Rhinolophus ferrumequinum: one gene and its partners. The protein of the gene in region 3 interacts with the protein of the main gene of each other region in a pairwise test. Links are inferred from orthologs where the notes say so. Each region holds a gene or a part of one and is shown on either strand. Other genes may lie near its edges. The genes, in order: AKAP12, MYBPC1 and FHL1.

Region 1 (11,474 bases), on a different chromosome or scaffold from region 3:
CTTTCAGGTTAAAACCTGGATATCTTCCTTGGAGAATTAAAAAATTTCTAAATGGTTTTATTCTTTTGGCAAGAATTACATGTGTCTAATGGAGAAAACTTGGGGGGAAAAAACAAGCAACATAATGAAGGGGAAAAAATCATTTTAAATTCTATCATCCAGAAAGAATTACTTTAACATCTAGTCTTTTTCTTAGGCGAATACACACACACACACACACACACACAACAATATATTTTTTTTTCAGCTTTTATCCTTTCAAAGTTGAGATGATATCATAATATAGTTTTATAAGTTATTTTAGACAGCTGATAAATTAATGTAAAAATTAGTATCAAACAGAAACTGTGGCATATTGGCTTGCAATTGTCATAATTTTTATAATTTTACACACCTTAATCTGTGTCATGGATATAAGCAGTTAAAATGTACTTTTTAAAAAGTCATTTTACATTACAATAAAATAACGTTTAAGGCACATGATTATACTTTCCAGGATATTTTCCCCCTAAATGGACAAAATACAGCTGACACCTCCTCTGTCATTTTCAGATTTGGAGTTATGGCCAAAAATGCACCATTCCCAGCCAAACCAGTAATTATTATGTAAAGATAATAAAATTATCATTTTTTTCTAATCCTTCAAGTACTCTGACTAGAATAAGGATATGAACCAGGAAAAATATGTAAGGTGAATGCATACTTATTAAATATAGAATGGAACTGCCTTTCTTTTTAATTCAGACTCAAATGCAGCTGACTTTTTTTCTCTGGATTTCAGTGGAAGGATATATGAATGCATATGTCATGCATATATGCCTAAATTACAGGGGAAAAAATACATATATTCACTATCGAATATTTAGGAAAGTTGATTTAAAAAAAATCAAAACTACCTATTGTTAAATTTGGCAACATTGATGCATCTAGATACAAATAAGCTGAATAAAGAAGCCAAAGAAAAGTATAAAGATGATTCCATTTTATGAATTTCTATAAAATTCTAGAAATACAAACTAATCTACAGTGACAGAAAGCAGATCAGTGATTTCCTGGGCAGGCAGGGTGGGGCCGGGGGGATAAGGGATTGCAAAAGCACACTGGAGAGATTTTTGGGTAAATCATTAAATCCAATCTCTTGATTATGGTGATGATTTCAAGGATGCATACGTTTGTCAAAATTCATCAAATTGTACACTTTAAATGGGTGCAGTTCCTTCTATGCCAATTATACTTCAATAATGCTGTCAACAAATATATTCTAAGGGACTGTTGGCAACCTACAATAATGGAATTTGTTCTGTAAATTTTTGCTTGAAATACTGGATATTGCAATCACTTACTGGATGTTATTTTCACTAACCATCACTTTTACTCAAGAAAACACCTCATAATTTTATACTCTGACATAATCCGTGTTTCCAATTCTTCCATAGAAAGTAAAATTCAAATATTTTACTTATAATTTCTTTCATAGAATTCTCAAGAGCACAATAACACTCAAAACAACATATTCCAATGATTATTTCACTTTTCAAAGTTTTCATTGACTTAGCAGAAGCAGCTGCAGATTTTGGAATCTTTTTCATGTGATTAATTATATTCCCAAAGAAGTAATGAAGTAACATGTTGGGAGGGGGGAAGGTAGGCAAAGTGGATCTAGTGTCACTATTGATTTTCTACCTCTTATTGTGATTTATCACAGCTACTCCTCCTACAGATACTGTATTTGTGGGAAGGATAAGAAGTAGTTTTAAAAACAAAGCAGCTGATAAAATTGAGACAATTCCTTGCGAATACAGAACCAGGGCATTGACTGAGAGCTCTGGAAAATGGGGTACTATTATCAACCTCTCTTGGATATGATTTTAGTGAATCTTCAGGTCAAGCATTGGTCTTTGCATTGGGTTCTTAATCACATGTAAAAAATAACTGAAGGCTTTTTTGATGTCATAGACAACATGTAGCGAATCTGAGATTAAAAATTCATAAAGGGCTTCAAATTAACAGAGGAACATTAAAATCTCTCAATATTTTACAATGTGTGTCTGTATAATGTTTTTTTTGAGTAAGCATGTTGACTTACGAAACCAAAGTTTCCAGCTTTGAAAAGTACCAAGTGTATTAGTTGGCACTTAACTCAGTAAAAGTTCACTGAATTAATATATTAAAATATTTTTTATAAACTATATAAAATATGAATAGTTTCTATATGAATGTTGGATTGTTTGTTGTATACTTACAGGACTCTTTGTAGACTCTGTGAAAGGATTTGAAATGGTGAGGATTACAGTAACTTGATCTGTCCTGGAGTGTAGAAACCTTCCAGATACCTTCAGGTACTCTACAAAAATGTGTACTGAGAAATTCTCTCTCCTCATTAAGCAAATCATTTACTATACCTTGGTTCCAGTCATAAGTGGGTGGAGAACAGCCCAACTCTAGAAAAATGAAGAGCCAAAATAATACTGGCCTATTGGTGACTACATTTCATTTGTTTGTTTATATTTAGACACATCTTGAACAAAGTGGTGGCAGCTATGTCAAATTAGTTCCCTGCAAAGAATTGCTTCTGTCAAGTCTTCTACGGTGGCTGGAAAAATATAAATGAAAAAAATACATATACAAATGAAAGGATTAACTACCCCTGGCCCTCTTTGTTATTTTATCATACATTGACCAGCAGTTAATGGCTGGCTTTATACTTAAGCAATAAATTCCTTAAAAGTTAAAAGAAAAGTACTCGCCTATATATATCATGTATATCTACAGGTGGTTGACCTTTGAACTTCATCTGTATATTGAACTTTTTCTATAGTTTCTATAGGAATGTTGGATTATTAGTTACTCACTAATAAAATTATTAATTCTTCTAGTTTTCTAGTTTGTAATTAGCAAATGCATAAGAAGAGAGTAGGAATGGGTTTTAGATGACTTAGATATCTTGATGTGAGTAATTAATTAAAAAAAAGTAGGCTTTTTATTTAGAAAAAACAAAGAAGTGGTAAGTGGCAGTTTCAAGAGTGAAGAGTTGACAGTTCTAAGTGAAATTGCCTGAAGGCTTTGTAGCTAGAGCATGAATCTATGGGGTAAAGTGTTGGTTTTAAATTCTGTTTTAATAATTGTAATTATTATTGCTCTTTCAGTTGTAAAATGTTTCAAATTTATGAATTCATTTAGAACGTATATTAAAATGTTTTGGTGTATGCACAGGATGTCCAGCTACGACTCTAAATTTTATTGGTAAATCTCGTATGACCCGTCTTTCTAGAGAGTTACATGAGATATACGAGTTCAGCCTGCTGTACGGGCAACGTGTATTTGTTTTGGGAGAAATTACAAACTGTTTTTTATGAGAACATTGACTCTCTCAAGGAAACAACTGTACCACTGACTGCCCCATGGGAGAGGATGTGCAGGGACACCTGCGTCCTGCTGTTTGGAGCAGAAAGAGCTGCTAGTGAGAAATTGGGGTAACTGACAGTCTTAGGTGAAAAAGTCTTAGGGAAAATAGAGAACAGCTGTCTTTCTTCCCATCACTGACACTAATGCTAGCAATTCTGAAGGTGTCTCGAAACCTTGAAAAGAAAACCTTGGTGACTCGATTTAGAGCCTTGAGTGGGAAGCACATTAACTGTGCTTGGCACATAATAGGCACTCAGTAAATATGACTTGAAACTGAGGGAGGCAGGAAGGAAGGGAGGGAGGGAAGAATGGGAAGAAGGAAGGAGAGAGAGAGAGAGAGAGAGACAGAGACAGGAGAGAGACAGAGAGAGAGGAGAGAGAGAAAGGAAGGAAGAAGGAAGGAAGAAGGAAGAGAAAGAAAGAATGAATGAACGAACGAAAGAAAGAAAAAGAGCTTTGTAAAGTTTTGAAGCACTAACTAGCATATCTAAAAGGTTGGAACATCTCATTGCTGGGGATAATAAATAACATAACTCCTCTTCTCAACAAAAATAACTCAAAAGAGTAACTCCCAATCTACAAGTAAGAAGGAAAGGATTGTTTGGTAGTCTAGGAACCAAAGGTAGTTAGTTATGTGTGTGCTTGTGTGAATCAACAAAGGAGCCCGTTATTCTTAGTACCTCCTTATCGTGGGCTGTTTGAAGCAGACAAGGGAGTACTAGAATATGCACATTCCTTAAAATAAGATTTTGCTTTCTAAAAATAAGGACACGAGCATTTTCATAGCCTGAAAAATAAACACAAAGCAAGCAGTTGCTAATCTAAGCAGACACTGGTGATGGCTTCCTTAGCATGTGGGTCATGCTGTCGGCTTGAAATCTTTGACCTTGCAATCTTTTCTGAATATACAAAGGCTGGGAGATGTGTAAAGCTTTGTTAAAAATTTCCCAAGAACCGAATAAATGTAATCTCACAGAATGGGAAATTTTGATAGTATTTGTACTACTTACTGATACATTTTCATAGGTGCTGACGTTCATCATTCTCTAATAGGCTTTAACAGCATTTCTAGCTCTTAACATCCTACCTGAGGTCTAAAGGCAACTTCACTAACATTCCTGAAGCTTCCTACAGAAGAGTGAAGTGTGGTATGGAGGATTCCTTCCATCTGTCAGCTGTGAAACCTTGAGCACCTATTCAATTTCTCTGGGCCTACTTTCTCCCTCTCCATTGGTCAAATTGAGGATAGTAGGATCTCTGTCATAGTGTGGTTGTAAGGATTAAATGTGATTATATATACGAAGTGCTTTGATTAGTGCCTGCTACAGAAAAAGTACTCTAGTTTTCCTAAGTCGTTAAAATTTGAGTTGAAATGGGTGAAATGCTTAAAACTTCTGAAAACCAAGCGTGTTTACAGATATACTACTTCTTAAGGGATAAATTCCAGAGAAAGTGGTACTTATATACTCTTTCAAATAAAAATGACAAATTCAGAAAAATTTTATTCTGGATAACTAACAATTAGGCACAAAATATCCCAGTGCTGAACTACTGTGTCCATCAATCTCTACTAAATTGTATTAAATCTGTTATGGGATATTTATCTGGTGTCAAGTGTCAATATTCCAAAAGTTTCATTTTTTTTAAAAATGATGATTCCAACTATTTGTGAAAATCAAGGCATTTAGTTGCTGGGATAATATTTCTTAACAGCCCCACCACCTTATGCTTATGTGTCAAATAACCCAACTAACATTTTAATTTAGTTCAAACATTTATTAACTTGCCTGCTATATTTATATAACAAATATTATATTCAAGAGTCTTACGGGAAAGAATGCAAGCCGCTTAGGCTGCCATTATTTAGAGTATTTATGGACAAAGATTGATGCAAACGAACAGATCTACGCCATCATGCCCCAGCACGGCGCAGGGAGAAGTGGCCTGGACCGCCTGCATCAGGCCCTCAAAGGAAGACCTGCACATTTCCAGTAACAATCTCATTTCCTCAAATTCCCCAGGGAAAGAAGGCGGTCGGTGTTGTTGATAATATCGCCTGACATCACTTGTTCTGGATGATAGGAGAGCGTGGCCTACCTCATCCGTGGCCTGACGGCATGACCCTCCTGGTTCCCTGCTCCTGCCACGTGAGGTGTCCTAATATGGTCCGACTCTCAAGGAGCCCGGGGGGCTTGCCTTTCTCCTGCTGATGGGGAGGAGGCAGGTACAAACATTTAGTCACACACAATCTGAAGGAAAGCAAATGAGGATTTGGGTTCGCTTCAAGGCGAGTTGCAAGTCAGCTGCGGCAGAAGCTCTTGCCTTGGGGGTATCTATCATTAATAAACCCCAGCGAATCCAATCTCCCAGGCGAATCCAGGCTTTCTGTCCTCCCCCTTTCTCCCTGTCCTCTCACTTTCTGCAGCTCTGGGTCATCCCCCAGCTCTGGTCCCCATTTTTGAACAGGAGGCACCCGGCGGGGGGGGCTGCTCGCCTGGACCTTGGCTTGCGACTCTCGCTGCGCTTTGGGTCCTTGCAGCCTGGGGGGAGATGCTGCTGCAAGGCGTGTCTGGGCTGTGCTCATGTGATGAAGCGAGGGAAAAACAAGGGGGAGGAGGAGGAAGCAAAGAGGTGGCCTTTTTTTTTTTTTTTTTTTTCCCTTTTCTTTTAAGGAGTTTGCCGCGAGCGCGTCTCCTTCATTCGCAGACTGGGCGCGTTGGGAGGAGGAGCGGGAGGAGCGGAGAGGAGCGGGAGAGGAAGGAGCTCTTGGGACCTCCGGGCGCACGGCTTCTTTGGCTCTGTTCCGCGTCCCTGCGATTTGGAGAAGGCGTAACCCGGCGGCTGGGCGCGGGAGATCTCGGAGAAGCCATGGGGGCCGGGAGCTCCACGGAGCAGCGGAGCCCGGAGCAGCCGGAGGCTGGGAGCTCGACGCCGGCCGAACCCCAGCCCAGCGGCGGCGGCCCCGCGGCGGAGGCGGCGCCTGGAGCGCCAGGGGACCCGTCCATCGCTGCCCCGGACCCGCCACCAAGGTACGTGCGCGCCGGGCCACCTGCCCCGGGGAGGCGGGGGAGGGAGGATCCCTCTGATTTCCGCCTGCGAGAACTTCCCCGCCCGTCCAGCCCATCTGCAAACTCGGGAGCAGGAGCCCCTCTTTTCAGGGTTTTTTGCCCCAGGGCGGGACCAGAGCAGCAGTGGACGCGGGGGGAGACTCGCATCTTTGTCGTGGGTCTCCAGGGGAGGCGACTGCGCCATCCGCAGTCAGAGAATCCAGCCCCAGGCGCACTGCTAACCGAGCCTTTCTCCACTGTTCCGGTGGGAGCGACCCAGCCCGAGACGCACGGGCTACGTGGGGGAGTCCGTGGAGAATTGACTCCCAGGCCCAGCGTCTTGAGCTCCCGGCCCCCCTTTCTCCACGATGAGGACAGCCAGCTGCTGGGCCATGACCCGTGTTGCAGCCTGGCGAACGGGCCACCCATGGGTTCCCCGCCGCGTACGGTCCTTACTAGCTGTTCATGGAGAGACCGGGGTTTGGTACCCAGTCCTGCGGCTGCGGCTGGAGCAGACACCGCCTTCTTAATGCAGAGAAAGCCTGGAGGTAGCTCGCTCTGAGCCAAAGAAAACCTGGGCAGACGCTGCATTTCCAAAAGGAATGACAGGTTTCGCAAACAAGGCAGCGTCTTTTTCGCTCTGTGCATTGCTTGTGGGCTCCTTTGGATAAACAAATGCTGGAGGAGTAGTTAGAAGTTCTCAAAGGAAGCGGTCTGGCATAAGCGAGCATTCCCTGTACGCTTGTCAGTGGAGGCAGTGCTGAGCCTCCTAGCAAATCTGTCGATTTTATAGTCTTAAGTCTTCAAGGCTGAAATATTTATTCTTGGCCACTACAGCCGTCAAGTTTGTTCCTTGTTCCCGTCTTTGTATTTTAGATCTGTTTTCCACCACGTGTGTTCATTAGCAAGGTTTCACCCTACCTGTGTTGTGACATCCTTATAGGAAGATGTGGGTAACCATACTTAATGCTTAAAAAACCCCCACAATACACAACAACCATGTGTCGAATTTGAGGATACAGATTAAATGAGGACCTTTAAGAGTTATCTCAGGAGGCATAGATGTTTTGTACTTAGAGGTAAATCTGTTCAATGTTTTTATGAGGGAAAAAACAGGCTGAAATCCAGGTAAATTTCACAGAACTATGACCTCATTGCCTTGACCTCTTTAGTTGTCCTAGTCTAGTTTAGGCTGAGACTGTCCTTCATAACTAGATTACCTCCAGTCCTTAATTTACAACTACTTGTAAAATCTATGGTCCCCAGAGCTGTGGATACTGACAAGCACTTACTGCCTGGTACACTAGATTTTCTAAGCGGTGCCTAAGGCTTGGGCCTAAGGAATGTATTATCCTTTTGAGGTCTGAGTCACCTTTTAATACTTACTGTAAATCACTTTTTGATACCAACTACGGTCAAAATGGCTGCATAACCAGTACTTAGAGTCCAGCAATGACAGTAATTTTAAGGTATAATGGATAAAAGCTTGCATTCAGGTTCATTTTTTTCCTTGGCTTTACTACTCCTCAGGTCTTCTTATTAACAGTTCACCCTGCCATATGGTACTAATTCCCTTCCCAATAAACTCACATTTGTTCATTTAAAACTATTCATTCCATTCTCTTATTCTTTTCTTGGTATATCCTTTCATAAATTTATCCTTCTTCCTTCCTTTTCCTAGTTACCACCATCTTGAAACAGCCAAACCACCTCCTTGAAACAATTACTTAAATGACATCCAGAATGATCACTGAACATTTTGGCATTCAGCCTAGTTATCAATTTGGAGGCAATCAATACACTTATATGTATCCTTGGAAAATGTGTAGCTTTTCATTTCAATTTGCAAAATGTATTATTTAGGTTTTGAAGACCTGAGTCTTTTCAAAGGGACTCCCCAAATTAGAATGACTCAGCACAGGACTGTTTCCTCCCCTCCGTGCCCTGACTCAGCATAGGACTCTTTCCTCCCCTCATTTCCCTGTTCAACTCCACTTCCTGACCTCTGAGGAATCCCATCTGCCATCTAGGCTCCCAAGGCACCATAGACCCTCCTTCCCAGCAGTCTCCACATTTGTGGGTTTAGTGACTTGACTAATAAGTGCTTTCTTGGCTACTCTGAATGTTCTACGAGGTAGGGACCATATCTGTTTTGCTTATAGTAGGTGTTCCCCCAAGTGTGACATGCTGCCTGGCACGGAGAAGGTTCTCAGGAAGGGACGCCACTGACTCCCAGGTTTTGATTGGAGACTATCAAGTTGGGGATACTTTGGCCCATCTAATTTTTCTACATTTAATCTTTGACCTTCTCATGATCCATCTCATGTATCACAGACAGTGACTAAGTTAAGTCAGTCTGTTCGCTTATTATTAGAATGAGAGAATATTTTGGCCAAAAAACCCAGATTTGGGGACTTTTTCAGTTCTCAGCTTCTCTAGAAAGAGTGGCATGTTAATCTTACAATTTCAAATTGCCTTTAATTTCAAATAGACCAAATATATTAGCCACAAGTCTGCAAGTGGCTCAAAGGACCACGCCAATGCATTGGATAAGTTATGAATTACATCTTGAACTTTCTTGGTTGGTCTATGGGCATAGGGAGGTTTAGACTAATACATCATTCCCTAACTCCCATTAAATGCCGATCATTAACTAAAAGCTGTTAGTAGACTTTTTTCCCATCTAAATGATATTTGATCATATGCATACCTACTTAGCAATCCAGTTTACTTTCCTTTTTTCTGCTAATTTTAGTTACCAGTTACTCACTAAGTGCTCACAAGTCAAAGGTATTGCACTAATTGAGTTATTGTTACTCCTACTGGTCAAAATTGATTATTCAAGTCTAACATTTAGATGCAGTGAGGCAGAAGTTTTTGGTTTTTTTTATCTGTAGTGTTTTTCAGTAAAATAGAGTCTTCCAGTCAATCTTTTACAATCGTAGTATGTAAATTCTGGGAGAAAATGGCTGATCAATTATTTGTAGATTTAGTTTGAGATTTGGGCCATCTCGGCTACTTGCAGGGGCAGGAATTAGATACCTACCACCATAGGTGGTTAAAAAAAAAAAGAAGCCTGTGTATTAATCCTCAATCGTCTGTTTCAAAATTCGTCTTCCAAGAATATTTCAATCAGGTGGCAATATAGGGTGAGGTGACCAATGACAAATTTACTTCATGCTCTGGCAAATCTTGATTTCTGGAGCCAAGCGCCACCAAACCTAAGTCTGGACAATCATAATCCTCGAATTAGCTTTCTGCATTCTCTGCTCAATGACCTCAGAGCTGGAAATGGAACAGTAGTCAGTTGCAACAGCGTGTGGCCAACGTCCCTGCAGGTGGCAGGGGGGAGATGAAGGTTCCTGTCAGTCTTTCAAGCTGTGGTTCCATTTGGTTACAAGAGCTGAATCACCAAACACACAAAAATGTACTCAAATAGAAGAATCCATTAGCTGATTGGTAGACTGAAGGATGTCTTGGCCCTTCATGCATTAAAACAGACAATTGAGTTGACCAGATGCATTTCATAATTCCTCTACTGGGCCTAAGGCAGTGTACTTTCTCTCACCTGCCTTCTGTTTATAGAATGGAAGTTGAGACTGAAGATGGCCTTAAAATGATTATGTCTACATATAATTTTATACTAAAAACGCCGGAATTTAGGATGATGAGAATTATGTTTGTTAATGGAGTGGTGTTTTTATGTGTGTGGCTACCTGTATTCCTATGGATTTTCCCCAGATTACAAGAGGTGCTACTTTCTGATTGGAACACAGTCCAAAATTTGGAGATGTGGGTATAAGGATGGTCATTTAGGATAGCCATAGCCTGGGGACGGCAGGACCTTCTCTGGAATCTGTGATGGCCTTTTAGGCTTGTAGATACACGATATCAGTGGAGATTTCCACTTGAAATGCATCCTTCTATGAGGCACAGGTCTCATGTGCATCCTTTTGAATTCACTTTGGGTCAACTAAGCTCTGTGCCTGGATAGCTTTAAACTGATGTTATAGGATTATTCTAGATTGGTATCTTAGAAGACAATTCATAAATGCGAATGTTTTTGTTTCACAAGATACTATAAATTTTTTTTTCTTTCCTTCATCAGTTTCAATACATACTCAGTGTTATAGAACACCGACAAAAGGAAAATCAAGTTAAATGGTGCTTATTCTTGACCTCTAATTCTGTATGCTGTCGTCATTCATGAAATGAGAATTAGAATTTATAGCACTCAGCATTCTGAGAAAAATATAGTTAGTACTTTAAGCTCATGAGAAAAAAACCTAAATATCCTTAAACCTAATCCTTAGTTCTCTTATAACCTAAAAAATTTCAATTTAGAATAAGTTTAATTTTAAAATATTACAATGGAAAAGTATAATTAAAAAAGCTGGGTTGGAAGGGAGAAGCACGATGTGTAAGCTTATTTTCAATAAATTCTTGAAAACCTATGCGTAATTATTTTGGGCCATTTTCTTGCCAGTTAGCACCGTATTAGAGAATGTATGGGTGGGATTTTTGTACCTTTGATCATCCTTTTGTTTCCTGCTCATTAGTACATCTAATAAAAGGATTGGGTAAAGTTATTAATAATTTGTAATAATTTGAATCATACTTGCCTTCGTATTTCTTATGAATAATTGAGTTTACTTATTTAAAGCTGACTGTAGATCTGACATCATTTTGAATCAAAAGCTTTACAAGATGATCAAAAGCACTTGTTTACTCTTATTAAAATGATTTTTATTAAAGTCATTGCATAACAGGATTCATTTAATGTTTATTTTTCTAAAAATGTTAATGGTTGAGAACCTGAACTTGTAGAGTATGGTAAAAGTGAAAGTCACTTATTCTTTTCCACCCCACAAGTACTCACTGTTGAGGATAGTTTGAAATCAATGTTGGTGATTTCTTGTATATTCTTTCAAAACCTTTATGCATGTGTAAGGAAGGATATAAATAAGAATTGCCCATTTTAAGAAATAAGATCATATATACAGAGGTTGCCAAAAAAATGTA
Region 2 (10,545 bases), on a different chromosome or scaffold from region 3:
TGTCACATATTGTATGATTTCATATATATGAAATGTCCAGAATAGGTAAATCCACAGAGACAGGAAACATATTGGTCACTAGGGGTGGGCAGAGCAGTAACTAGTTAATGAGTACCAGGATTCCTTTTAGTGTGATGAAAATGTTTTGGCATTAGATAGAAGTGGTGATTATACAATCTCTGAATTTACTAAATGCCACTGGATTGTTCACTTTAAAATGGTTAATTTTAGGTGATGTAAATTTCACATCACTAAAAATTAATTAAAAAAAGAAAACAATAACAAGAAAATCTTAATTTCATAGAAATTAAGAAATCCCTTTTAAATAACTCCTGAATCAATGAGCAAATTAAAACCAAAACTGAAAATTATTCAAAAATTAGTAAAAATACCGGTACATTAAGTTAAAAACTTATGTGATACAGCTATAGTCCCAGGCTGAAAATAAACTCTAAATTAAATCCTCCACATAGAAAAGGAAAAACAACAACAGATTTGACCTAAAGAAGTTACGAGAAGAAAAGAAAATAAAACTACAAACTGGTTCTTTCAAAGCACCAATAAAAGTAGTTATACTCTGCAAAAACATATTAAGGGAAAGAGAGAAAATAAAAATTTTGTTAGAACTGAAAATGAGGCATAAAAATCACAAACATAGCAAACACTACAAATTAAAATAAAACCCTTTTCTGCATTCTTTGGTTGGTACAGAGAACATTATTGCTTGTATTTTGAATATTCTTACTAAATCTAGAAGAAATAATTTTCTAAGTTAATTTAAAAAGAAGTGTAAATACTGAGCATCTCAATTTAAAGAAGAAATTGGAAGCATTTGTAAAGATTTACTATTTAAAAATGGATCGGACCAGATGGTTTTATAACCAAGTGTTACCTATCTTCAAAGAACACATTTTCCTATGTTACTCAAACTATATTAAATATTAGAAAAAGATGCAAGTATCTATAACCAATTTTATGATGGTAACATAACTTACATGATAAAGATAGCACAGACAAGAATTTATAGAATAATTTCACCAACATATAAATGCAAAAATATCTAAAATAAAATATTAGCAAATCCAAAATTTTATCAATAAAATAATACACCACAATGAAACAGGATTATTGCTAGGAAGGCAAGGATTGTCCAACATTTGGCAATTTTTCAAAATACTGTAACATTTTTATAAACAAATCAAAGAAGAAAAACAAATAATCACAAATAAATTCAATCAGTAATGGCTATTGATAAAATTCAATAGCCATTATTAATAAACAAATAAGTATAAATAAAAGGAAACAACCTAAAATGATAGGCTATTTATTGCAAATTAATAACAAATATCATATTAAATTTTAAATGCTAGATCCATTTCTACGAAAATCAAGAACAAGAGAAGAAGACCTACTCTCCACACTATTATCACATTATATTTGGGCTTCTAGCTAATGTAATAATAAAATAAAATTAATTCAATAAATATTGGAAATAAAAAGACAAGATTATCATTTTTGCATAGCATGTAATTATATAATTACATAGTAAGTAAATCCTAGTGACCTTAAAAATCCTATTTGAACTAAAAAGTAATTTCAATGGCTGGATACAAAATAATTATAAAAATAACTTCATAGCTTTTCTTCATACTCTCAATAGCCAGTAAGAAATGGAAATGGAAGAAATTCCATTTAAAATTGTAACAAAAACTATAAAATGCATAGACATAAATTTAACATGTATGGTATAGAATTTTAATAGGAAAAATTATAAAGTTTTATTAATAACTATAAAATGATATCTGACTTGGGATACATACAATATTTCTAGGTGAGAAGGATTAATATTCAGATGACAATGATTCATGAATTAATATATAACAACTTTATACTATTTTGATTAGAGTATCTTTTATGTTGGAAGAAGGTGACAGGAACTGGCAAAATGAATTTAAAGTTTATAAGGAAGAACATAAATGGAGAATTGCAAAGAAAATTTTGAAAAATTAGACCACAGAGGAGATCTTGCCTTATCAGATACTAAAACTTAATGTAAAGCTAATGAATGCAAATAGGAAGACATTGGCTAAAGAATAAATACATTGATGAGTAAAAAATGAACACTGCGTCTATAAATAGATTCTAGTTTACATGGGAATGTAACATAAACTCTAGTTTACATTTCAAATCAGTGGTAAAATAACAGTGAAATGGTGCTGGCATGACTCCCTGTTAAGCTGGGGAGTGGCGGGGGGGTGGAGAATAAACAAATTTAGACACCTTAATTCACACAATAAACATATTTAAGGATTTTAAAGTATTTGAAAAAAATTTATGAGAGTATTTGAATAACACTGGGTGAAGAGACTTTTCTAAAGTAAGAAAATCCAGAAGCCATAGAAGAAAAGGTGACAGATTTGAATAAATTTTAAAAATGTAGTTATTTTATAGCAAAAAAATCATAAAAGCAAAATGCAAAAGAAAGAGAGAAAAAATTATTTGAAATATATACAGAGCTAATATCACTAATAAAAAGTAAAGTATTTGAATAAAGCAACTCAGAGAAAAAAATGACAAGTCACCAAAAAACATGAAATATTGCTTAACCTTTGGAAAAATGGAAACTCAAATAATGAGCTATCATTTCTAACCCATTAAGTTCACAACTTTTTGTTTTTTTTTTTAATTATAACATCTAGGGTATGAGAAAACAAGTAATCTTATATGTTGCTGGTTGACCTGTTGAATAGGCAAACTTTTGGGAACATAATCTAGCAAAAATCTATTTAGATTTAAACCAGGTACGTATACCAGAAAGCTCAATTTTAACAATCTAGCCTACTAATTTAAAAATATCTGTATATATCTATATATATCTAATTTTAAAATGTCTGTAAGGTTATAATGTATTATATTTATTACAGTGTTAATTGTGGTGAGAAAACACTGAAAACAACCATTCTACCCATTAAAAGGAAAGCAATTAAGACTATACGGCACACATCCCTACCATGAACAATTATTATTCATCTGTTAAAAAGATGTGTGTGTGTGTGTGTGTGTGTGTGTGTGTGTATAGAAAGAGAGAGAGAGAGCAATGTTGACTAAAGTGTCCATTTGTATACATTATTTTGGCACCCCCAGTATATGTATTAACATGGAGGGATGTCTATGACATGTTAAATAGAAAAATCAAGTTAAAGATTAATGTAAATAAAAATAGATGAAGAACTCCCTACATATGAGTACGTGTATATATGAGCACAGAAGAAATTTAGACCCTAATTCACACCTTGGAATAAGGAAACATTGGAGAGAGAATGAGGTTTATTATTTATACTTTTCTGCATTCTTTGGTTGGTACAGAGAACATTATTGCTTTTATTTTGAAAGATGTGGCAGAGATTGATATCTACCAATCCAACACCATTCTCCTCATTCTCTTATTTAGTAACAGAAGCCTATTGCCACTGAGAACGAAAGACTACATTTTTCAGTTCCGTTTATAGCCAGATATGGCCATGTAATCAAGTTCAGTGGAATGTACTAGATGTTTTGTATGGGACTTCAAAGAAGTCTTTCTAAAATGGAGAAAGTGAGTCCTTTTTAAAAACATTTTTCTGCTGCTGGGAATGTGGATGTAATGATTTGAGTGCTAGCAGCCATTTTCGACCATGAAGTTACCTGGAGGAAGGTAGGGCAGAAAGAAAGAGCCTAGATTTCTGATGATACTGCAGAGCCACTATAATGACTCCAAACTGGTTACTTTTGGACTTCCTTTATGTGAACAAGAAATACTTCTGCCTTGATTTAACTATTGTTATTTTGTGGGTTCGTGCAATATTCAGCCAAATCTAATCCTAAATGACGCAAAGGGGAAAAAAACCAATAAAGCATTTAACAAAAGAAAAAAGAGTCATGTTGACCATTTTCCCCACTGCCTGAGAGTGATATTGAGGATAAAGAATCTGTCAAATATATGGTGATGGAAGGAGAACTGACTCTGGGTGGTGAACACACAGTGTGATTTATAGATGATGTAACACAGAATTGTACACCTGAAATCTATGTAACTTTACTAACAGTTGTCACCCCAATAAACTTTAATTTAAAATAAAATAAAATAAAATAAAAATAAATAAATAAAAAAGAATCTGCAACCTTCTAGATCTGATATAGGGATTATGTGTTCCTAAAACAAAACAATCCTAGGAAAATTACATGTCTACTTATTATTTTAATTTAAAATTTTGAGTTAACCATCTAACACACTCTACAATCATATATCATAGAATTTGTTCAGACTTTGGATTCTTCCAATTAGGTTTTGTCTTTTTACAATCAAGTCTTTTATTATCAAATAGTTCCCCAGGTCATAAAATATTTTCTCCATGGGCTGCAATATTTCCTGGCACTTATTCACTTCAGTAAAATGACCAGTGTATTAAAAATCCAACAGAGTTTCTGCAGAAGCCAGTGATGGCATGGCCCCTCTTTTGTGGCATGTGTGAAATCTGCCCATCACTAGAAACATTCTTCTGCAATGTGACACTTTGTCCCTCTGTCAATTTCATATGTGGTGTTCAGTGTGCTGAGAATGCTGAGGGGGAAATGATTCTTTTTTAGGGAGCACCAGTATCAAATCACAAAGTTAAACCTAGAAGGGGCATCAGAGGCCATTTTGTTAAACCTCTCAATTTATACAAAAGGAAACTGAGGCTCAGAAAGGCCACTTGTCTTTCTTAGACTAACTCAGCTCTGTGATGATCCAAAAACAGAACCCAAGGGTCTGACTTCAGATTCTAGTTTCTTTACTTTGTCTCTCCTATTGATTCTCTCATGGTAGATGCAGAAAAAATAAAAAAAGTTTGTTTTTCATTCTTTCAAAGCACATCTAGCTTTGTATTACAGAATATGTTGTTTTCTGGCTGATGTTCAACATCTAAGAGCCAAGAAGTATTTTAAAAAGCAAAGCAATGGGATCGTGGCCCCATGTGGTGGAGAAAAGGCTTGCTTTGTAGACAGATGTTCATGAACCTCCTTGACTGTCTCTCCTCCCCCTCCCCCCACATAGCTAAAGCGTGATGCTATTGAGTTCTAAGTTGAGTTTCCATCTTTATATGAAAAGTTAGCTTGGCACAGAGTTTGGTAGAGCTAAGTGTGACCAGCTGTGCTCTCAGCCACAAGGGAAATTAAACGAGACAGTGTGGCTGGTTCAGTACAAATCAATCAAAGTCTCTTGAGAATGATCTTGAAAACACATATCAATGAAGGCACTCAAGGAGTCGTCTTTTCGCATAAACTAATTTTGGTCCCAGTCTCTGAGGTATCTCATCCATGTGGACAAAGAAAGTAAGGTGTCTTTTTTAGTTTGACCACTTGGTAGTTCATAGTTCTCCATCAGTGCCATGAGAGTTTTGGGAGAAAGTGGTCCAATATGATACAGTCTGCCAATATCTTAAATTAGATTTGTTGTCTGCCATCTTGAAACAAAACAATGGCTACTGGTCTAACTTTCTTTGCCCATCCCCCATAGACTTTTAAGTGTATAAGTCAGTGGTTTTTAACATACTCACAAAGTTGTACAACCATCACCACTATCTAATTCCAGAATATTTCCATCATTCACCCCAAAAGAAACTCCATATTCATTAGCAGTCACTTGCAATTCCATCTCCTCCCAGCTCCGGTAACTAGTAATCGACTATCTGAATTTATGGATTTGTTTATCCTGGGCATTTCATATAAATGTAATTGTACAATATGTAGTATTTTGTGTTGGGTTTCTTTCACTTAGTATAATGTACTCAAGCTTCATTCATGTTGTAGCACGTATCATTACTTCATTCTTTTATATGCCATGTGAATTTTTAAAGGTTGTTCCTTGAGAAAAGGTAAAGTCTAAATGTTCCTTAATAGAAACGTTTGCTATTCTTAGAAGAGAAAATGAGAGAAGATAGTCAACATGGAAATTTGGCTTTTCAAATTGATATTAATATATTAATAAAAATAAGATAAATTTAAATCCAATAATTAAGAGCTCACAAAAATAAGAAACTAATGAGAGCATAAAATTATCATCTTGATAACAGAGATTTCCCTTTATATCTTAATAAAAATTAATGTATATGCTGAATTAGCATACTACAATTTTTAAATTTAGTTTAATTTTCTGTCATCTGGCAAAATTTTGCACGCTTCAGTCGACACATGCCTCCATTAGACAGGAAAAAAAAAGGGTAAGAAGGAGCATGCGGCTGCAGCTGAATTTAGAAAGTTAGAGGTGTTCTCATCAGCCACATGAGATGGACAGGAGATTCCTTCCAGTAGGCGAGAGAGCAGAGTGCAGACAACAGATGTGGGAAAGGTCCTCATAGCTGTCAAGTTCCAGCATCCTTGGGCTAAAGAAGGGGCGGTGCCAACATGATTGATGTTCAGAGGCAGTACAAAAGCATTGGATTTCTCCCCAACTGCTTGTCACACTGACCTGCACCATCTCTCAACTGCTCGGGGGTTTCTGTCAACTAGTACTGGAGGGGAGCAAACTCTTTGGTGAATAACCTTTTATTGTGGTCATGCCAGAACCCACTAAGAAAGAGGGTAAGACTCATCCATAAATCTTTTTGTTGTAATTTTAATACAGTGTGCTTATTTTGGTATTTATTTTCAAACAAATATCCAGTTTCTTAAATAGACTATATAATAATAGAATTACTGTGACTTCAGGAAAAGATTCCAGAGAGTAAAAAGATCAGAAGAAAAATATAAGAAAGTACAACCAATTGAAAAATATCTGACAATGATAGTTTATGAAGGGATATTGACTAAAATTTTTAATTATGATTTTATCATTCGATTGTAGTAAGGGATCCTGAAAGTGTAATTTAAGGATGTTAATTGCTCGTGGTGAGCAGGTTGCGTTTTCAAGTGTATTTTCTAAGTTTCAATCACAAACTTCTCACCCTGTATTTGCAGTTTGTGGAGTGTTAGTAGCTTGGAATGCTTTCTTACATGGTTTATAAATTTGATCAAAATTTCCAAAAAGAATTTGTGGTATTGTTTCCAGATTTGCTATTTTTTTCATGGAAAGACATTTAGAATATACAGATGTAGGCTTTTTTTTTTTTTTTTTTTTGCTTTTATCAGTGCCTTTGGAGCTTTATTACATTATTAAATTCTTGCATGGAAAGAAAATCAAACACCTGGGTAAAAGAGAATAACTTTGAGTATCATTGATGGATTATGTTCTTTAATGAGTATTATTGTAGATAATTTCATAATATGTCGCCTTTAAAAAAATAATTAAACTGAAAATATGAAAACATTCTTCATTAGAAGAAACATTTCTTCTTTCTATTAAAAAAATCAAGATTTTAAAACTACTAATTAACATAAATAAATTGGAGTTAGAAGTTACTAAAATGACTAATGAAAAACATAAATTAATAGTACAAGTACATTTAGTTTAATTTTTAATGGAAACATCTATTAACATACATATTAGTCTTCCTGAGTGCTTATTGAATCTTTATTTTTCACTTCTGCAAATAAAAGCCAAAGAAAAAGATTAGCAGGGAACAAAAGAATAGTATTTTGTTTTTTCATTTTTAATTCTTAATACTACTTTTAGCCATTAGTTTGAAGAACCTTAAAAAGATGCTAGATGTTGAACTGAAAGTTGAAATACTAACCAAATTATCAAAAGTCTTTGAAATATATTTTCTTTATGTAATTAAGTAACCAGTGTTGACAGGCTGTGGTGATCAGTTTACAGGTTGGCTTTACTTAGTAGTGGAGGGCATTGATGGATGAAGTCTTCCACCCGAAATAACCACACCAAATGCATGCATTAATATGGGAACTTAATCCTGACTATCAGGCAGTGAGTCCAACCCCTGCTAAAGTGTCTTATTTGTAATGCAAATGATTTACATGTGTATTAAGTGTCCTTTTTATTTGATCTGTCACTTGACTAGCCTCTTCAAGGCTTATTTGGATGAAATGCATTCTATGTTTCCTGACTGAGGACAGAATATTGTTTTAATTATCCTGCATTTAGGGGATGAATTTGCATGTGTTATTTTAAAGCCCACTTGAAAATGACAAGAAAGCTGAAAAACTAATAAAGATGACAGACCGTAGAACCTATAGAGCTAATTAAATTACTCTGATTGCTACATGCATAAAGTTTTCCTTTATCTGAGTCTGACAACTCCATCTGATACATTCTACTTTTAAAGACAATGACATTTTTGAGCTACAAAGAGGAAAACATATCTTTAACTTCAGCTCCTGCCATCCCCCCAAAATATTTTTTAAATAAATTAACACAGATACCAAAGTCCTCATGATATTCTCTTGCTATAAAAGCACTGTTGATGTGATATTCTGTGTAGGAGTTCCCCCACCCAGGACAGTAATTTTATACGCACAGATTCTTTGGTCGGTTTAAATTTGGGTGGTGGGGAGTGGAGATAAAAAGAGTGTTACTGATATATTTAAAATCCTTTGAGGAAGTACAGGGATTTTTTGTTTGTTTGTTTTCCTTGCCAGCAGAACTGATTCTTAAGGACACTGCTCCTTGAAGAGTTTTCCTGGTGAAATCACTGCTTTTTAATATTGCTAACATCAGAAGAGGAAGGACTATGGCAATTTTAGGAACTGTTCTGGTCCTTGCACCTTCTCCTCACTGATTTCATTTTTTACTGGGGTTGGTTTTGTGCCATATAAACATCCCTCTGAAAGACAGCTTCAAGAATAAAACTTGCCACCAAACCATTTCTTCTGTCATTTTAAAGTATCCCCAGAAGCATTCCCAAGTGACAGTTTCTTCCCGCCCCTATAGGTTTTTTTAACATCTCTTCCCCAGGGGAGAGAAGCATGCCTAGGAAGGACATGCTACGAATGTTCTTGCTATGAATCTTGATAGAATACATGGGCTGATTTGGCCCTCTTAGGATCCAGGAGGACCTGGCAACTCTTTGAATGAGGTTGAGTTTTCAGCACCTGAAGTTGCAAATGATGTATCTTTCAACTGTCTCTCAACCTCCAGTGGCCTAATTGTGGGAACTTCATGTTGGGTCGTGGGAGAGCTGGTCCTTCTCAGGAGGAGGAAGGACAGATGTAATTTTGGGCCTCAAGGAGGAACTCTTAATGGAAGTAATTAGTCAATGATCCTTATTTAGACCCTGGAAAGTATTCTGGATGACTCTGTAACCCCTTTTGGAGGAAGAAAGCATTATTTCTAAGGAACAACCACTTCTCAATACTCTCCTCTCCACCTTTGTTCATTGTGTATTTATTCCTTAGTGAACTATATTATTTGTACTATCAGTTCTAGATAAGAGACCTGTCTTGCACTTTGAATGCATGCAGAACTTGAAGCCTAATAACGTTAAGTTATTCTATTCTAATAGTGAGAGAGGAAGTGGAAAAAAAGCTTGAGATTTGTGGGAATCTACCAGAATGCTTTGGATACATTTATTTATGTTATCCGTGATTGAATACTTACCAGAGGCTAGTTGCTGGGATTTTAAAGATATATTCAACAGGGTCTCTGTTCCATAAGCTCTCACAGTTAATTGCCCGGGTCCTATGGTATAAAAAAAAAATAAAAAAATAAAAATAAATAAAAATTTAAAAATCACCTTTCACTGGAAACTTCTCTTTTCCTGTCAAAAAGCAATTTTATCAACATGAAATTAGAAAATTCCAATAGACTTTCTTTGGTGGTAGCATCTCTAATAGTTTAAAAATACTATGAATTACTCTTAAACCCATAAAAATGATTCCTAGAATTTTATCTCTGTAGTTTCTGATAATTAAAACCATAGCGACTGGTTCTCTAATATACTTAGACAATTGTTAACTGTCAAAATCTACAGGACCTAGAAAAATTCTCTTCTAAAACACCAAGTTGAGGCCTCAATACAAATTTCACTTTGTCTGATATATCAGGCTCTTTCATATTTTATGCACTTAACTTGCAGGAAAAAGGCAAAGGTCTTCCTTGGTGCTTGTGTACCATTCAAAAAACCTTGGGAAATCACTGCCGTTTCCTCATCTTCCATGTGAAATCTCTTCCTAAAAACTCAAACATACGGTAAAACATGACTTCATTTATGACCATAATTTTAAGAGGCCATTCTGATAACTCCCGGAATCAAAGGCATGACATTGTTGCTACAGATTCTTTTGCTATATTAGCATGCAATATCTATCTATCTAATCTATCTCAGCCTTTTTTCAGTAGAAATAGGTGGGAACATGGTAATGGAGAATAACTTTTTTTCAGTCCACAACAGCGTTTCCTTTGCTATATCTTTCTTTCTTGGTCCCTAGAGATTTCATCACATTTTCAAGTTCTGCTGAGCCCCAAACCTAGTATCTGAAAGAAGAGCAGCGTTCATTACCTCTTGCCCATTTCTCAGCATGGCTCAAGGCTTAATCATCGTCAGAAAAGGAACCCTGGTGATGGAAAACCTCCCTCTCAAATTTACTCCTTGACCTTCAGCTTCTACCTGCATGAGACTTGATGACCTATTC
Region 3 (10,542 bases):
CAATAAATCCAATTAAGTGGAACTTGGGGCAACCCGAATCAGCTTACCTCGTGTTTTTCTAACCTTATGATTATTTGATCCCAAACTATTCTGAACCGCCACGCACTGTGCTTAGGAGGAAGCTGGAGTAATACATTCCTGCTGACAAGATAGTTATCATGTCAAAACTTTGCATAAAATATGGATGATGTGTACAAGAGCAAAATATTTTGTTACTACTCATCTTCAGAGAGGTTAACCATGCTAAGTTAACAGCTTATAAATGACAACGCTGAGGTTCCAAAGAGAACAGATACCCTGATTTGTGGGCTCCACCAGAATGAGCCATAGTTAAGCTCTGACTTCAAGAGGAGAGAAAAGCTTTGCACTTTCCTTTCTTTCCCTTTGTTGGAAATAAGAGAATAGAGAATGACGATGGCATTTACCTCTTCTTTGGGGCTTTCTTTCATCTTACTGAATGACATATACTTAGGTGTTTATGTCTTAGGGAATAATTTTTACCCCCTTAGCAATTTCTAAGTAGATGAAATCCGAAGCTTGTAACCTTCCAAAACTTGCAGATCTGTCTGCCTTGACCTATTGCTGTTATCTGGGGAAGGACATGTCGTCAATCACTAAAGGCAACCTGGGTACATATAATTACCGTGCCGCTTCCCTTCCCACCCATCGCTGTCCAAGCCATGTTTTCCCTAAAGTAGCTCTTCGACTAATTGTAACCTCACAGTGTGGCCCTCATCTGTACGTAGTACAGAGGTTTCTCTGTCACAGAAAAGTTTGCCAGTACACTAGGAGCCCCCGGGACCTAATCCAGGGCCTTGCATACAGGAGTCACACAGTACATGCCTGTTGATTGACCGATGGAAGTACGTCACCACCAGTAACCTTCTAAAATTTCTTTTATTAAAAGCCTTTTATAACAAAGATTCCTGTTTTAGAAAAGTAGGGAACATCTCCTGTGACCTTAAGGGGCTGACATCTAACCAGCTGTTCTGCATAGACTTAGTAGGTCAGAATGCAGTTGGAAATGTGACTCAGTGATCAAATTTTAGATATTTATTCCAAGATGGTAGCCTGACTTTCTTGCCATGCCTGCTTCAAAAGACACATCACTCTTCATTTAATAAAGAAGCTTCTTCTTTCAGAAAATCCCTGAACTACATCCAACATGCTATAAGGTGCCTACATAAACCTCAGTATCTCAATAAAAAGTTTTCGCTTTTGATTTAATCATGTATATATACGAGTAATATAACATCGCAGCCTTTTTTTTTTACGATCAACCTCTCATTAGAGAAGATTCAATTTGTATTTGATAATCTTGCTTGTATTTCTATGTGTATTTTCTCATGTATTTCTTGCTAACATTCATTTTTCGCCTCGTGCCTCAGGAAAAAGTGAGTATTATGACTAGGTAGCATTTTTCTAACTATGTACTTTCCCTGAATGGTATATATAACGTACATTGTAAACAATGAACAGCAACCCAAATGGAAAAAAAAATTCAGGTTATTTCTGATCTGTTCATTGCTAAGTCCAACATACCAGTCTGTTAGTCACTCCGTGTATAAATATTGGCTTCTAAAGAAAGGGTATATTGCTTTCCTGCAATATACAACAAATGGAACATTCAACAAATGGAATGGAGCCTTAGCCGATGAATAGGACACTTGTGTAACAGTTATGCTCGCGCACCTGGAGGTGTCGTCAGACATTTGGGAATAAATACCTAAATAGTTGCCATGAGACAGAGTTCATGAGTCATGGCTGAAAAGTAGTCTTTCATTGAATTTCCTAGAAAATCAGAAAGTGTTTTTTTCCCTTAAAAATAGAACATGTACAGAATGATTCAATGTTATTAGCAATATCACTTGTATGCGGCCTTTAGGGAAAAAAACCATATAAATCTCTTGTGGATCATTGATAGACAGGTAACACAGTTTACATTATACCTGGTATCAGGAGGGTTGGATAGAGATTATTAAAGAAAAACTTATGTGTCACTGAACTTCCACTGGGCCAGATTCTATTCTAGTGCTGTTTTGTGCATAGTAAAAGCTTTCCTTAATATTATGTGCAGCATGTTCCATCTTCCATATAGGAAAACAGCGCTTCCAACCCGGCAGCAATAAAACCTGTGTTTTCAGTTTCTCTAATTGTGATGAAGTACCATAGTAGGTGGTCGTTTGGTGGCCTGAAACTAAAATTTAAAAAAAGTACAAAATGTTCAGTTTCATCCTCCACCAAATCATCTGACTACTATTTTTCAGTTATTTTAAGAAGCCAATCCAGTTTGATTACGCCCTCTCACCCCACCGTTTCATTTTCCATGGCACCCTAAAAAAAGACTGTCGGGCGTGTGTAAACCCACTGGGCAATGGCAGGTGAAGGGAATCAATGGCTGAATAACATGGCAAGTGATCTTCCCTCCCACCGCACCCCCACACCGGACCTCAACTTGAAGGGGAAAAAAACATATGAAGGGTAAAGGATTTGCGTATACACAATTTTGCAGACTGCAAAGTGTTCAGTAACAAAAGTACAATTTCTTGTACTTGAAATGTCCTCTCAGTACATGGATGGTCACTGAAATTGGATTCTGATCCAATTCTGTCCATACAAAGGCAATTTGGGGGCAATGTGGATTTTCTTTCTGTGAGGAAAGAAAATTCTGTGAGGATTTTCTTTGTCTTTCATCTGCTTCCATGGATCTATGAACCTAATGCAATACAAAACAATAGTTCCCAATTTAAAAACTCATCTAAAAGGTGTCAATTAATTTGTCTAATTTAGTCACAGTTGTAGCCTCCAGATTTATATTAATATAAGCAAGAATAATGTCAGGATTTGGTACAATTTAAAACCCAAGGTTGGGTGTGCTGTAATTATCTTTTAAGTATATCATTTTCCTATTCTGTCACTTAGTAAGTAAAATGGGGAGTTCCTTTACCAGTTAACATGCGTTCAAGGTCCATTGGAACAACTAGTATAGCTGAATAGTTTACCTATACCCAGAGAATGTGTATGTTGGCCGATTACCACAATCTCGGGCATGTGGTACCATGTTGGTTAAGTGGCTCCTGGGAAACAGAGACAGTGCTTGAACACTTGGGAACAAGGAAGACCATTGCATTGAGGCAGCGAATTACATTGCAGCATATTTGTTTAAAACACGCAAGGAGAACATTTCCGAAAGTATTCCCATTGTTTAAGTATCGGCAGGCAATTGTTAAGTTTCAAAAATAATTTTTCCAAAAGACTGCCACTAATAATTATTTTGTCTCTTAATCTAAAAGGTAGGCAACAGGACCAAGTGCCCGGCTTCTAAGAAAGGGGACCGTTACTTAGGCAGAGGGCAAAGAGCAACAGCAGCATTCCTGGCTTCGGAGGAGAGACTGGCAGCATACTGACTTGAGAGAACCGGGCTTTCCGGGGAGACTGCCTGACCTTCAGTCCTCTGACCCCTATTCCGCAGTGTCTTGTCCACAGCCAAAGGGCTTGCTTAATGTCAGTTTACAAAACAAGAGGAAGGCTCTTATGGTAATGACAGTCCAGAGGTTCCGAAAATTTGCCCCTTTTCCTGATAAGAACAATTAATAACCCAAGTGTCATATCAAAAGGATCACAGTTGTTTTTTCAGGAAGACTGAAAAGGTTATTCAGAGAAAGGGGAGATATATAGTAAGTCATTACGGACTGTCTTAGTTATAAATATTCCTTCTTCCAGCTCCATATTTGATGGACCTTTTCTAAACACCTTAAGTTCGATTTAAAGCACTGTCAAGAAAATATTTGTTATCTTATAAATAACCAAAGAAAACCAGAAGTTTCTAACCAAAGAAAACCTCTTTCCTCACACAACCTCTTACAGTTTCATAAGCTGTCCTAAAAAATGTACAATACAGTAAAAGGCTTACATACTTTTTAAAAATAAGCCACTCGAACTGCTAATTTTTCTTGAATAAGAATAACCTTTTATCTTTGAAACAGCATTAAAGGGGCAGAACAGAGATGAGCTGTCTTATTACCTATTTAGACAAGACTAAAATCATTTCATCAAAAAGTATCTTTTAGGCAAATGATGGATTCAGTGCCCTAACAAACTTGTGCTCAATAGAAGATAAAGAATACGAAGCTTTTACCTGAGTGTCTATGGGAAGCCATGGCTCAGAGACCAAGTTCAGGAGCAGCACCTAGACCAGTCCTCCCTCGACCCCACCTGAGAAGGCTGTGGCTCATTTGTGAACATACATTTAAGGGGAAGCAGCTAACACAAAAATAACCGAGAGCAGATGGCCCACCCCTCCCCAGAGATCACAACCTTAATCCCACTAGAAAATTCTTAACCATTTTAGGTGATCCAAGGGAGAAGAATAGGACCCAGTAAAAATACCAAACACTACATATAAATACCTGTGGTGCTACTCAGCATCCAAATTAGCTCCAGAGCCAGAGAGGCCACATAGAAAGTTATCCCTGTACCGGAATAAAATTTGGACTCAGCTCTAGCATAGCTTAACGCTGAGCCACCCTTGTTAACTCACTTTATATGCCTAAAGAGCTTGCATTTGGCCCTATGAAGAATTCATTTTTGTGCCATTAATGATAAAAGTAACTGTAAGAGAAAGCCTTATGTTACCAGTATAATCAAAAGGGATTAGACACTATGAATATGGAGATCAAGGGCATTATGTATGTCCTCCTTGGTATGTACCACAGATCAGCAGAATTACTGAAAAGAGCAATTCTAGCCACATATCTCCTTAGTGCTGGACAGAGCAGGACAGGACACAGACATACATGCCTATAACCGCTATGTAGACAAGGAAGAGACTTTGTCCCACAAACGAAATCTCTTCTCACCGTCAGGGGCAATAAAAGTAAAAATATGGGGCGGCTGGTTGGCACTGTGGTTACAGCGCAGTGCTCATAACACCAGGGTCGCCGGTTCGATTCCCCCATGGGCCAGTGAGCTGCGCCCTCCACAACTAGATTGAAAACAACAACTTGACATGGAGCTGATGGGTCCTGGAAAAACACACTGTTCCCCCATATTCCCCAGTAAAAAAAAAAAAAAAAAAAAGTAAAAATATGGACGAAAATGAAGATGGTCACGTATCATGCTGTAGCAGCTCAACAGGCTGCCCGATGCCTGGAGACTGCTCATCAGGAAGAAGCTCTAGGAAAAGCCAAGGTCCTCAAGATGGCCTCTAAACCCCCTGCCTGTTCATTCTCTAGCCTCATCCCTGCCCCAATTACCCTCGCTCCCTTCATCTCCAGCCTCACTGGCATTTGCACTGTCCCTTGCACCCTTCAGACACACCCCACCTCAGGGCCCCAACACTGATTCCCTCAGCACCGAGCCTCTTGATTGCACCTCTACTTCCTTCAAGGCTTTACTCCAAGTCACTTTTTCAGTGATATCTTCTTTGACCACCCTATTTAAAATTGCAACCATGCTCCCCATGCCCCACACTCCCTAGCCCCTGCCCCAATTTGATCCCCACAGTAACTATTTGTTGGAAAAAAATGAATTAAAAGAAGCAAAAAGGCTTAATCAAACCTCATATAAAACCAAAACACAGTCCCACCTGGAACCCTAAAAGTGACTTTGGTCATTGAACTTCAAGGAAGGCATCCGACTTTCACTCCGGGACAGGCGCTGGGCTCAGTACCTTATAGACACTGCCTTGTCTAGTGCATGTCACTGGTTTTGGCCCTATTCACACATCTCTTTTACCAGGCTGAGGGCCGGGAACATGCTTTACTTGTTTTGCTATTCCCAACAGATAGCAGGTAAGCAATACATGCTTCATGGATAAATGAATGAATGAGTTTCGCAACTTTTACGCTTTTCAAATGTTTAGAAAAGCTATTCTAAAAGACAGATGAAATTGTAACTCCTAGTTTGCTGGAAAAATGACACAACAATAGAAGCCAGGATGTTAACAGGTTTATGACATGATAACGTCCAAAAAAATAAGCCTGGGAAAAAAGGGAAGTGACACTGCACTCCTGCACGCCTCTCTAGCCTTTCTTATCCAGCCTGATTATATTATGGCAGGGAGATTGGCCAGTCTGAACAATACTACACCCCTAAAATAAACTTAAACTTTCACCACAAGGAAATGCTAATTTATTTGATGATCAACCTTTATGAACCCCAAATTTTAGATTTTAGTGAGGTGTATTTCTAGGTAGAGCCAAAGCATTTTTTAAAAACGCCTCTTGTAGTGCTGTGAACAATAAACTTAGATTGCCAAGTGCTTTCCTCAAGGAAGTCAATTCTAGTTTCAAGCCATGTATCAGGAGGTGTTTTGTTTTTTAAATTAAAGTTTATTGGGGTGACAACGGTTAATAAAGTTACCTAGATTTCAGGTGTACAATTCTGCATTACATCCTCTATAAATCCCATTGTGTGTTCACCATCCAGAGTCAGTTCACCTTCCATCACCATATATTTGATCCCATTCTTTTACCAAGTTCCATTAGCCATCTGATCATTTTGAAAAGCAACAACGGAATATGGACAGACTGATAGCCTTATGAAGTTAGCAAATAAACATAAATCTATTTTGCCTGAAACGCAAGAACAAGAGAATTACTCCTGACCATTAATTAATTAGTCGGCTACAAGCCAGCGTGAGCTGGGAGCTTGGCCCTACAACAGCATTTATTCCATCTGCAATTTACTTCAACCAGGTTAACTCTGCCTTCCTATAAACTTCATGAAGCATGACCACTGCCTGCTCTGACATTTGTCCCCATGCCCATGTCAAGTGACAAAACCACAATTTTCACAAAACCCAAACAGAACGGGCTCTTTGTTAGGTGAAACACAATTTCTCAGTAAGAATCGCTGGTAATTTTATCCTGCCTTGGATCAGTGGTTCAGAAACCTTGACGGTTATTTAGCACACACCCAAACAATCAGTGGTTTCATTAGCGTCTGAGCCAACTTCATTACATATTAACAGTATGATGTTAATAATATCCTTAATAATCCTGTACTGTTTACAAAGCGCCTTTATATACTGTTGGTGGAGCTGGCTGGTGTTTGATTAACAAATCTCTTTAGTGTCTGAAGGCCACATTTCAGACCTTTTAGTCTTTCACACTCCAGTGTACATCAGGATGATTTTTCAGCGAGCTAGGCATCACAAGTCCTAAGCTCCCTCTTGCATGTGGTCCTCTGGGAGCCATTTACTTGTCTTCCACCTACTCAGATTCTTGTCTTCCACGTACTCAGCAGTTACATTTTAACCTACCCACGGGCCCCACTTGTAGATGATACCACCCCATCTATTCATTTATTTTGGAGGACGAACACTTATTAAAGAGATGTCCTACTATGTGGTGTAGAATATTTTGCTGCTCACAAAGAGTAAGATACAGTCCTTCCTTCCAAGTGTATCAAGATCAATATACAAATGACTGTCACGCAAAACATAGCATGGTGAGTATTACAAGAGATATAAAGTGGTATAGATTTATCACAGGCAGCGATTGTATTAGGTTTGGAGAGATCAGAGAAGACTTGATGAATGTGATACTATTTGACCTGGTCCCTGAAAAATGGGTAAGGCCTTAGCACAAGGAGAAGAGGAGAGGGAATTCCAACAAAAGGCACAGTATGAACAAAAATACGAGAACACAGGGCCTGCTCCCGAAGCAGGATGCAGCCCAGTGCGGGCAGGAGCACAGGATACATCTGCAGTGGCACATCAAGCTAGAAAGAAACGGAAAGCCAGAGCTCGGAGGGTCTTTTTGCAATTGGTGCAAGAGAAGGGTGAGATCAGGGAAATATGAGCAGTGACAAGAAGAGTCAGTCTTAGGGAACGAAGTCTGGAAGCAGGGAAAGTCTAGAAGGGTATTGCTGTTGTCCAGATGAGACATAAGGGGAAACTGAATGAGAGCAACAATGGCAACAGGCATGAAAGGGAAAGGAGATGGAAGGCGCACCACGGGGCAGGGCTCAAAAGGACTGGTTAGATGTGTTGGAGGAGAAGGAGCTGGCAATCCTTCCGATGTGGTGATTCTGGGTGATCAGGAAATAATGGGGAATTTGGGAGGCACCACTGGTGTGGGGAAGAGTGGCGCTTTACTTGGAGCTTTACAGTGAGGTTCTTCTGAGATGTCAATAACTAACCCCCTTTAATGGGATCCAGTTGTCAAGTCGAGAAAGAACTAGGGCTAACAGTGCAGTTACGATGGAATCACGTTTATGGGAATTCTCACCCTGCAATCTAATCCCAGACTCTACCTCAGAAACACCGCTGGGAGGATCAAACTTCCAAAGTTCAAAGTGGTGCAACCTAAGAGTCAAACACGGCAAATTCAGTGACCTAGTTGGCCTACACCTCGGGAGTTCCTGGTTCACAGCTTGGCTTGTGGTCGCCCTTTTCCCTTTACTATATTTTTTCTTTTACTGAAGAAATTTCCAAATAGTTGAAAAGTTATTCAGACATTTACTGGCCATTAGTCATGGCCAGAGGCAAGAGGCTTATGACAATCTGGAATGGAGCCTTTGTGGATTTATCAGAGGTCTGATGTTTTTTTTTGTTTGTTTTTTTTTTAGCTTCTTCTTTTCTCCACATGCCTACTACTAATAATTAACACACTGCAAGTTTTTTCTCAGTATAACTTTCTCAGGCTACTAGTCCCTCCGCCAACAATTTTACTGAGTGACTCCAACTGCAATCTTAAGGCATCCAGTCATGCACTATGATATGATGGGATTCGATGTTGAGCTCTCCCGAGTATTTCTTGTCCTATGAGTTCTTGCCAGAAAAAGGACAGTACAGCTTCAGCCATCTCATGTTCCTGTCAATCTTTAGGGTGGGAAGAGTACTTTTCCTTACTGACAAGTCAAATCTTGCAAAGTCACTGCTTAAATGTCACACAATTTCAGGGCATACCCGTCTGAGTAAAACAAGGGAGCCCCCGTCCCAGAACCACCTGAGGGGCAATTTCAGCATCCAAGATCCAAATGGAAGCAAAGCTGGGAATTCTTCCTCCCCAAAGGGTCTCTATGAGTTTCAGAGCAAACGAAAGGGAGGCTACGAAGGGGAAGACCTGCTACAAATGAGGTAAGATGCATGAAACTGAGGACCCTGTAAATAGCAAAGCACCTGGGAAATGCTAATTCCCTCCAGAGAAGACCTGTTCATTTCACAATTAACCAGGGCTTAGAAGGTTTCCTTGCAATCTTCACTCAGAGATTAAGAATTTAAACATATGCCATGGCCTCTGCCATTTGATTTTTGGAAATGTCATCCCATGATTCGTAACAGTTTTAAATGTCTCTTGTCCCCAAAGTCAGCCCCTTCTTACACTGCTACAAGACTCTCACCAAGATGTATGAACTATCCCAACCACGTCCTATAGATATTTTGATGGGCCTCTAACAAGAAATCACCATCAAGTCAACAATGAACAGATGACTTTCACAGCAAGCCACTATGATGATCTCAGATTTTTTTAAAAAAAATTGAAGTGGCATTTAAAAGAGAAAAAAAATGATAGAAGAATTAGAAAGAGTTTTAGAAGAAAATACATAATACAAATACAGAATCTCAGATCAAGGGAAAATGAATGCATCATGAAACTGAGAAGGTGGTAGGGATAAATCTTTGTCATATTTTAGGTGTTAAACTTCTCTTCCATTCTATTTCTACCACCTACTTGTGACATATCTGTTTTATTTCCATGTTGCCATGTGCCATGATTCAAAACACCCTTTCAATCATGTTAAGTCCTGGCAGTCACCAAGCCCAGCTGTTAGGGACATTTCAAGCCTCTGATAGATGCTTGAGGGCTAAACATGCCATGACCCTAGTGTCTAATCTACCCAGCTGATTAATATCCATCACAGGGAAAACCCAGCAAATCAAATAAGCTAGTTATTTGTTCTTAAAACTGCTAATGGAGATTGACTGCCTTAACCAGAGATGTTATCACAATACCTCATGAGCCCTGCTTCTTGGTGTGAGATCTCAACTAGTTAATTTGTCATTTACCAAGGGACTGTAATTAATACATTACCTTATTACGCATTGGTGTTTTCAACTCCTCAATAGGGGATAGGCCTGGAATTCAGGGCGAAAGTTGGAAACACTCATGAGTGGTTCTGCGGGGCTTGGTCATGGTACACAGAGGTGGGAGTGGGAGCACAGGAGGCGGAAAGGGATCCAGCAGTGATGGGGTGTCACTCAGAAAGTCTAGATTTGGTTAGGTAACAGGGTTGACTGATAACAGGGGCAATTGGATTTCTAGAGGATTGAAAGAGCCCAAGGTGCAACCTCATTTGGTCTCCATCTGCCACGTTTCCGCGAGGGTCATTATCTGTCTGCCTGAGCTGTGTCTCAGTCTGGATTCGAAGCAGATACTCACAGGAGGACCCAGGAGGGTAGTGATCCAGAGTGCTTCATAGCTGAGAGAGCAAACACAAATAACTTTCTGTGAGAAGAGCTATTCTGTTTGCAAGGGCCAGAGGAAAGGCCAGTGTGATCTTGTGTGTGGCCTGACATGAGTTCACTGCCCCAAA

The links.
Region 1: the proteins of FHL1 (region 3) and AKAP12 interact in binary tests that used the Homo sapiens proteins (3 or more experiments, as listed by UniProt). The link is inferred for Rhinolophus ferrumequinum from reciprocal best matches to the Homo sapiens genes FHL1 and AKAP12.
Region 2: the proteins of FHL1 (region 3) and MYBPC1 interact in a two-hybrid assay, tested with the Homo sapiens proteins (2 studies listed by BioGRID and IntAct). The link is inferred for Rhinolophus ferrumequinum from reciprocal best matches to the Homo sapiens genes FHL1 and MYBPC1.

The regions. Positions count from the first base shown.
Region 1 is NC_046286.1:94,220,596-94,232,069, forward strand, and holds the start of AKAP12 (A-kinase anchor protein 12), read left to right. Parts: upstream 1-6,273; coding exon 6,274-6,438; intron 6,439-11,474. UniProt on the Homo sapiens protein: Anchoring protein that mediates the subcellular compartmentation of protein kinase A (PKA) and protein kinase C (PKC).
Region 2 is NC_046293.1:17,655,291-17,665,835, reverse strand, and holds the start of MYBPC1 (myosin-binding protein C, slow-type), read left to right. Parts: upstream 1-6,452; 5' UTR 6,453-6,575; coding exon 6,576-6,600; intron 6,601-10,545. UniProt on the Homo sapiens protein: Thick filament-associated protein located in the crossbridge region of vertebrate striated muscle a bands. Slow skeletal protein that binds to both myosin and actin.
Region 3 is NC_046284.1:20,054,904-20,065,445, forward strand, and holds the start of FHL1 (four and a half LIM domains protein 1), read right to left. Parts: upstream 4,292-10,542; 5' UTR 4,161-4,291; coding exon 4,139-4,160; intron 1-4,138.